Saccharomyces cerevisiae S288C: one gene and its partner. The gene in region 1 interacts genetically with each later gene. Each region holds a gene or a part of one and is shown on either strand. Other genes may lie near its edges.

Region 1 (4,179 bases):
TTACTCGACAAAATAATCAACTCTCCGCATAGAACAGAAGCCTCGAAGACTTTGCAAGAAATTGAAAATAATCAATCATATATTTTAAATGTACAGTTGAAGAAGTTATTGCGACTTCATGACGACTCATTTAAAAATAAGTGTGTTTCTCCTATTAACTATATGTTGGAAAAGTACACTCCGTATATGGGGCATACCGAAGCATTACAAAAGGAAGCAGAGCTTGTGGATAGGGATCTCCGAATCCTTGAAATGACGTACCAACTGATAGAAAAGAATCGCAACTCGAAATAAAACGATAAATATATTCAATGTTTTTAAATTAGTACTATTATTATATGTTATTATTAATGGAATGAATCAATACGTATTTTATACAGAAATAAGATTTGAGAAAGAAGGGTAAGAAAAAAAAGAAGAATAAGTAAATGACGAAGTTCTTTAACTGAGTTAAAGTTGTGTAATGCAAATTTGAAGAAAGGAAAAGATGCTATAAGGCAAAACAAAAAGGACGTCGACACTCAGTCATGGCATGCCCTTGGCAGCATTAGCCCACTTTCTCGTTTCCGTCCAGCCTGCATTTATGACTTGTAAAGCATCTTCCAGATTTAGAGGCTCTCTCAATGGCTTATCATCTACCACCAGTTTCTTGTAAACTCGAGCATAATATTCCTGAGGTATAGCTTGGAAAATCTCCCTTCGAGTAACTCCGTCATTATTGGCGCTTTCACTTTGCTCAGTGGGTTGTGTCCAGAGTTGTCTTCTTCGTTTCCAGATTTTCTCAGCGTTACAAAACGGCGCCTTACTTTTCTGTGCTAATTTTATGCGTTCCTCCACTACGTTATAGTTTTCAAAGTTCTGCGTAGACTTCTTCGAATTCGATAGAGTATGCGAGGCGGTTGTGGTCGTGTTATTAGCAGAGCTAGATTCCTCACTCTCATCTGTGAGCTTCATCTCCAATGTACTATTGACACCTCCTCCTACCTGCGACATAGAAGCACCACTATCTCTGTCTATACCCTTGGAGGCTACGACGGCAGGCTGAGACACAGTAAACAGAGCCTCTATTTTTTCATCGCTTCCACTAGAGTCATCGATACTACTCAACGTTTCGTGGGTAATTTTCTTTAAAGTTTCTTTCCATTTTTGTAAAGTATGTGTTAAGGTATACTTAATATTCTTTTTTGGGGTCTTGGAAGTAGAAACAGTCATAATAAACCGTTAGCTTTTGAATACTGTATTTCTTTTACTAAACTGATCGTACAAAATTATTCGGGTTTTAACGACCTTAATGGACAAAAATATGTGACAAGCTATATTGAAGTACCAGCGGAAGAGTAGCTAAGCACTAGCGTTTGTTGTTAGAGTATTCCCTGTTTTTATAAATATTCCAAAGAATTATACAACACACTTTTTTGCGACCAAAGAATAAGCAGAAAAAAATAATAACTCCGATGGTTATTTCTATTGTTTACTAAAGTTCAATGCCTCTATCACTCATGCATCGTTTCATTTTAAAGTTGAAAAATGTTAGCAAGAAAAAAAAAGAAACGCGCGCTGATAGCATTACACACGGGTAGCAAGCAAACATGGTGTGGGGAAGGTGAGGGTAAAGAAGAAATCTACCAAGATCATGGTGCTGCACGTTTGCTGAGCCAAACAAAACCACTGTTGTCGGTAGAATTATCGAATTATCGATAATCTTCCATAAAGACTTTTTTACTAAGAGAGACTTCGTATCTCTTTTTCTTTTGATTCGGAATAAAACCCCGTTAGTACCATATAGGACGTTTACTTAAAGCCTTGCGCCATATCGCCGCCAGATGATACAAAAACCGATTTTATTATCCTCGTTTCTGTTTCTCTACATCCGTGCATTATTACATAGTATACATCCGTACATCCGTACATCCGTACATCTGTACACAAAAAAAATCACCTCATACAATTTTTTAGGAGTGCCGTTTAAATGAAGCGCAGCCAGATGCGACAAAAACTTAAAGGCGCGGCTCAGCCTAGATTACGTTCTTTTTCAGGTGATGGTGCCATTTCCGCCCTTCTCGTTAGAGCCGGAACGCAGATGAGCTGCCCTCTGGCGCCCGCGCTCCTCGCCTGGTAAGTTCACTACTAGGCTGGAAGTTGTATGGTGTCCTCTGGGATTGCAAGGGCACGCTAGTTGGATGTGCTCACAATTGGATTGGCACTTCAAATGCCAACTGGAAGGGCGCGAAACCGAGGGTAATGCGACAGAGGGCACTGACGTTGTTTCGTAACCTTGTAAGCTCTTTCTGATGGTAGTGCTTCATGTACATGTTTACTCTATTATTTGACCAGTCTCATTGTTGATAGGTTCCTTAGTTTTACATAGTCTTGGGTCTTAGTATATTTCAATTGCACGAGCAGATAATCCAAAGTACTTGAAAATGGCCGGTTTAAAAGACGTTGTCACTCGTGAATACACCATCAACTTGCACAAAAGAGTATGTCGAAATTAGCGTTGTCTTTACGTGGGAAATTATTGAAAGCCAACAAGCGATATTGTGGTGAAATACCAAGCGAAATCTATACGGGTGAAATTTCATTTTCCAATGATTGACCCCAGGTTTTAATTCGGAATATTAGAGGTTATTATATGGAATGCGTGATGCAAGGACTGGAAGGTTCTTCTTCGGTACTGCATTTCTCTGTGTTCTGCGATCGATATCCGTACCTCACGTTTACACTATAATGGCGCTTGGGCCGATGTTTTTGGCGTGATGCTTTAGTTCCACCTTCTTATAACAACTTTTTTTTTACTAACAGACCAATCTTGAATTGATATTAATATAGCTACATGGTGTCAGTTTCAAAAAGAGAGCTCCAAGAGCTGTGAAGGAAATCAAGAAATTCGCCAAATTACACATGGGTACTGAAGATGTCCGTCTAGCCCCAGAATTGAACCAAGCTATCTGGAAAAGAGGTGTTAAGGGTGTTGAATACAGATTGAGATTGAGAATCTCCAGAAAGAGAAACGAAGAAGAAGATGCCAAGAACCCATTGTTTTCCTACGTCGAACCAGTTTTGGTTGCCTCTGCTAAGGGTCTACAAACCGTTGTCGTTGAAGAAGATGCTTAAATTGTAAAAAAAAAAAAATAATGTCCATCTTATAAGCATTTTATTTCTTTTAGGTTATATTATTACACAAACAGAGCTGCTTTCGGGGTACGAGTATACGCTCTTGAATGATAGGAAAATATATACAATTTCAGTACCACAGTTTATTAGATTTTTGTAATTCAAAATTTATTCATTCTTGTCTCTCAACCACTGAGGCGCTCCTCTGCACACAGCTATTAGCTTTATAAGGAATTTCAACGCCCATGCCAAATCCATCCTCGCCGTAACGCTTGAACTCAAAGGTTTTATTAAACCAGTCGATCAGACTAATGTAATTTTTAAGATTCATCATTTTCTTTAACAGAGATTTCTTCAACTCCATATTTTCAAGCATACAGTACAGATGGTGCTGAGCCAATTGAAAAGGCAAGCCACCAAACTCTAGAGCCCAATAACAAAACTTCTCAATGCAGCCCCAAGGGCAGGTAGTATATCCAGCAAATAACGCTGGATTGCTTAACAACCCACGCACAGCCATGACACCATGTGCACCAGTGTATTTGGTGATTCTTTCCAAATCGGATAACTTAAAACAATCCCCATTCGCTATTACAGGCACATTTTTGTCGCTGATGTTCTCGATGATATATTTTATCGCATCCAGGTTAGCCGGCTGCGATGACCTAGTTCTACGTGTTCGGCCATGAATCGTAATCCAATCTACCCCAGCATCACATAGCTTTCTACATAACTCCACCGTCTCGTCCAATGCCTCATGTATTCTTATTTTCGTTTCAATTCTTAGTTTGTCGCCATACTTATCTTTCACAGCATGGACCATACTGCATAACAAATCTGAATTGTATATCAGAGCGCAACCTATGCCCTCTCGGATTTGTTCCTTTATAGGACAACCACAGTTAATACCAATACCATCACAGTATGGGGCAACCATTTCCACAAATTTTAGTAAATCAGCCACGTTATTTACACCTACTTGGACGATTAGCGGGGTGTCCTCATTATTTGTAGAAAGGTCTGAGATTCTTGCATGCTCATTACGGACATATTCTCTTGCCAAAA
Region 2 (4,901 bases), on another chromosome or scaffold:
ATAAAATTTTGCTATTTTTAAAGGCAATCAAAAACGATGAGAGAGGAGAAACGTTATCACACAGGTTATGGCTATATGCAGCACCTAAAAGGCCGAAAACTTTTGCAGCAAATCATAGTAAGATCACATTCGCAAGCTTAGGTGAAAGTTATAACAATGATCCTAACATATTCGAAAAAGTTCGAAAACCAATGACAGGAATGGTAGAGTTTTTTAAAAGGGACCTGGAAAGTGCATACAGGGTTTCAGAACAAATTTCTCCCATCAAGTTGAATTGGATATATTATTGCGGTGACGCTGCTGGGAGGAAAAAGGACTTCAGTGATTCTGACATAAAGTTTGCTGAAAACTTGCACGTTGAATTCAAGTACCCTGAGGAAATATTTCACGGGTAGTCCGTTGTAAAATGTTGAATATATACCAGTATATAGTAATATTTCTTAAAATGTTCATTTGTGATGGTGAAAAAGAATATGAAAGCAATGTCAGGATGACACCGTCTACAGGGAATTTGCAGTTGCTCTTCTTCGATAGTACGTATATCCAATTATCCCCAAAACGAACAAAAGATTAAAAGCGGCACAATATTTCGTAACCATAAAAGTATAGCTGTAGCAAAGCACTCCCTTTTTACAGTTCCCATCATCATCTCCTGTATTTGCCTTGAAATCTCTACCTAATATATCGGTAAAAACACTCACTGAAAATACACCACCAGTCGTTAAAACACCCCACAGCGTACTATACCCATTTGTGCCAAATCTATCTGCTACTATGGAGGGGAAAGTACCAAATAGAACGCCAAAAGAATAACCGAAGATCGCTGAGCATACCGAAATATTCTTGAATGATTTGGAGGCTCTTAAAGAAGGATCTTCAATGCTGCTGAAGTCATGGGATATTTTATTCGATGCAAGAAATACCAAAAGCGATGCTATGACAATATTCCATAGTCTTTGAGCTTTGAATTTCTTGACCAAAAAATCTGATATAGGCCCAGATGATAATCTGCCGCAAAATGAAAGAAGAGACAGGAGAGTTACTTGTAATGATTGAATTTTTTCTGCATTAATTGGTAATTGATTTAAGGGTGGAGTAGAAACCTGGGCTTGTACCATAAACCCCACAGAATATATGTACATTAAACCCACGCCTTGTAGTATACCCAATACTATGTAGTAACCAATAAATGTTGAAGATTTTAAGCTTTGGAATACATGTAATCTCATACTTTTCTGTGCGCTATTCTCGCCCACTGTATTTTTGCTGGTATTCTCATCCTCGAAATCATACTTTGTGTGTGGGGAAGAAGGTGATAACAATGGTCGATTTGATAACTGTCTATCCTCAAGTGCAAAAAATTCTGACGTTTCCTGAAAATTGTCTGACAATGCATAAGTTTCATAGGTAGCAGGGGATGATGAACGCACAGGTGAACCTATATAGTCATTACTGTTCTCATATAACGGTACTATATTATCGTCTGTTTCCCTGCTTTTTTGAAGCTCCCATTCCTTAATGCTAGCATCATCTCCTTCTGCATTAGAGAATATATCTAATGAGAAATAGCCTACTAAAATCATGCAACCACACGCAACCATCAAGAAAATGAAGACATGCTCGATGTTCTCACCAAAAAGCTTTGAGCAAAGATATGAGAACACCATGCCCGATAAACCGTATAGGGACACAGGAAATGCCCCAGCTGTACCCCTGTGTTGAGGAAAATTTGTATTTGCACATTTCACAGAAGCGTAAAAACCTGAGACAGAACCATATCCAATGAGTACCAAACTTAACGATATGAGAAAAGTACTAGACCATTCGTGCTTATAGCATAAATTCAAAATCAAATACGCGATGAAAACACACATTGAACCAATTAGACAGGACAGTTTAGGACTTCGATCGACAACTATTCCTGCTAAAATTCCCATCAGTGAGCTTCCTATTGTTAAAGAGAAGGATAGCTTACTTGAGGCAGAAACAGGTATGTGGCACTTGCTCAGTAGCTGAGGAGCATAAAATGAGAAAAGATAAGGTGTTCCAGCACCAAGGGCAACCACGTTACCTCCCACAAAACTTTTGAGATGTCCAAAGTGATTTGTATTACCCATTTTACTATTTTGGTGTTTCTTTACCATGGCACTCTGTGAAACATTGGTTGCTGTTTATCGAGTATCTTTGAACCGCGCAGGATTTATTTACCTTATCTCCAGATCTTCGATATCGACCAAATGTAAATATATTTCTGTAGGAAATAGAGGAACAACATAAACTTGAGGAGAAGTGGTTTTTCATGGCTCAAGTTATGCTCTGAAATTTTAAAGAAAACATATATACTTCTTCTTTCTTGTATTCTTGCGGATATTTATCCCTTTTTGATTTTATGATACTACAGTTAAATGTTCTTTTAGTCGGCATAAACGGACCACAATAATCAACTCTAGACAACTTATTAAACGGTTACTCGACCATTTCAGTCGAAGACAAGAACCTTGTGGTATCAAAAATGAATGATTGGCATGAGTTCAATGCCGCGATAAAGTCAATATATTGTAATGCAGAAGGTGACTCAAGCAGTATAATTAATAGATTGGTTGGCTTGGCAATGAAAAGCGAAGATTCCACTTTTATTGAGGCCGTTTTAGTTTTGAAAGAAAATGTGTCGAAAGTAGATAAACAATTAAGATTTTTATGGCTTACTTCAACTATTAATTCAAGGTTTTATCCCCCTATACCTATCTCAGAAGCCTCACCGGTTTCTTGGAATAAAACCGAATATTGCGCACCTGGTACTGAAGAACTACAAAGGCGTTATCCAGGGAGAGCCAAGTTACAGAATGAAGAAGACTATTCAGGCGGAATAGAACAATGCCGAGATGTGCCAGATTGCTCATTAGTTGCTTCTCTAATTAATCTTAGGTCTAAGAACTTGAATCTCCCTCTAATTAAACAAATATCATCAACTAAATATCACGTCAATTTAAGTTTTAACGGAAGCAACAAAAGGCTAGTGACAGTAGATATTTCGCAGATCCCAACCTCAGTGGATGGCAAACAACTTTCTTTAAAGAGTAACGATATTTCGGACAAAATTGGAGAGCTTGCATTACTGCTTGTTTCTAAAGGAACATATTCCACGGATGGCTCAAATATTAGTATAGATACTTACCGCTTAAGTGGCTTCTTACCAGAGATAACACAAGTAAACAGCTATCCTTTCGAAAAATTATGGAAGTTTCACAAATCTAATTTATGTCTGATGGGCGCTGGCACCGGGAATCGTTCCAATGACATGATAAAGCCCCTAGTTGAGAACCATGATTACTCTATAATTGATATCACATATGATTCTAGGCTAGTAAAATTGCGAGATCCGAGGAACTCGGCACTAAATGTTGAAATCAGCTATGAACAGTATTTAAAAAATTTCAAACAACTTTATCTTAATTGGAACCAAGAAAAATTATTCAAACGTTCTCAGGTACTTCATTTTCGGTACGATACTTCACGCTACAATAAATTTTCTATCGTTGCAGATAAACCTTTATTTCACCTGGTAAACAATTCTAAAGTGACAGAGACGGTATGGTTATTGCTAGAATCCCATTTGCAAGATGAAGGCAGCCAAGAAAATCGGTCAGTTTCCTTTTTGAATGAGGCTCCCGAATGCATAATTTGTCCAATTGAACCTCCAGTAGAATGCGGTGGCAATCACATTGGACTTCAGCTGGTAAAGTTGAGATTAGATGCTGAGACTGAGAGGTTATTGTATTGTTATTCAACAACAAACAACAATTTCAGTATTCACTCTTTCTCAGTTGTGAAGGAAATATGTTTTCAAAGATTGAAAGATACAAAAAGTCTTTTTGCCAAAGTCCTTTTCTCTTTTCCTTATGAAATAGAGGGAAAAGCCTCATTTGATACTTGTAATTTTTTTCAAAATCCGACTTTTGAGTTGGAAGTTCACTCTGAACAAGATTATCAAGTACTTATGGACGCCGCATGTATCTCAACTAGCTCACATGATTTAATTAACATCCAAGTATATTACTTTAATGACTATGAATTGATAAAGCCAATAATGTTTGATAACCACTATCAGCCCGGGCAGGGCCTTAAACAAGACGTGCCCATCTTAACTAATGTCAAATATATGATTGTATGCTCAACTTACGGCCCTCCAGCCTCAACGGAATTTGAATTACTTGCCTCGATACGGTTATCCTCTTCATGGAGGTTAATATCTGGAATAACTTTACGGAGTGTTAACTTGATATACGGTACTTATCCATATCATTGTCGCAACAGGTTCCATTGGAAGGAAACTTCAGACAAACTTAAAATTCAGATGACTTTGCCAACCAAAAAGTATTCTACGAACAAACTTTTTATACGTGTAGTACCCGTGGAATCATCAGCACGATTAAGGATGCGATGTAATATTTTCGAGCCTGAATCAGCTCTCTGTGTTTATGAATGTCAAGAGTATAGGACATGTCCATCTGGGGGCATCGTTATACCTGATCTGGAAGTCTCTCGTACTAACATTGTTGTATTGATGATAGAAAGAAGTGTACCTATTTCCAGTTGTTTACCTACGGAAGGACAATTGGATGAATTGGAGTTGTTTGTTGGGTCCAGTCAAAAAATCAGAATTGAAAAATACTCCGATGATGTGATACCAAAATAACTGTGCTTTATCTCAAGAACTGTCTATCCATCCTTTTTACAATTCTACACACAAAATTATATAACCTTGAAGTAGGTGAACATCACAGGATGCTGGAATCGCACCAAAGCACTACATTTGGGGGTAAGGTTTTTCATTACAAATCATTCCATCCAAATAACCAATTATTCAATCTATTTAACCAACTTTTCTTACTCTTGCTCGC

What was found.
Region 2: mutations in GAG1 (region 1) and YMR155W together harm fitness more than expected from each alone (negative genetic interaction), as found in Saccharomyces cerevisiae (one large-scale study listed by BioGRID).

Annotation. Positions count from the first base shown.
Region 1 is NC_001144.5:930,000-934,178, reverse strand, and holds GAG1 (Gag1p), read right to left. Parts: upstream 1,213-4,179; coding exon 526-1,212; downstream 1-525. Other genes in the region: BLS1 (Bls1p), read left to right, coding at 1-294; YLR406C-A (uncharacterized protein), read left to right, coding at 1,824-1,973; 60S ribosomal protein eL31 RPL31B, read left to right, coding at 2,424-2,480, 2,830-3,114; DUS4 (tRNA dihydrouridine synthase), read right to left, coding at 3,287-4,179. UniProt on the Saccharomyces cerevisiae protein: Deletion results in antifungal drug fluconazole-resistant phenotype.
Region 2 is NC_001145.3:565,794-570,694, reverse strand, and holds YMR155W (uncharacterized protein), read right to left. Parts: upstream 2,145-4,901; coding exon 501-2,144; downstream 1-500. Other genes in the region: TPP1 (polynucleotide 3'-phosphatase), read left to right, coding at 1-395; RIM13 (Rim13p), read left to right, coding at 2,513-4,696; FG-nucleoporin NUP53, read right to left, coding at 4,833-4,901.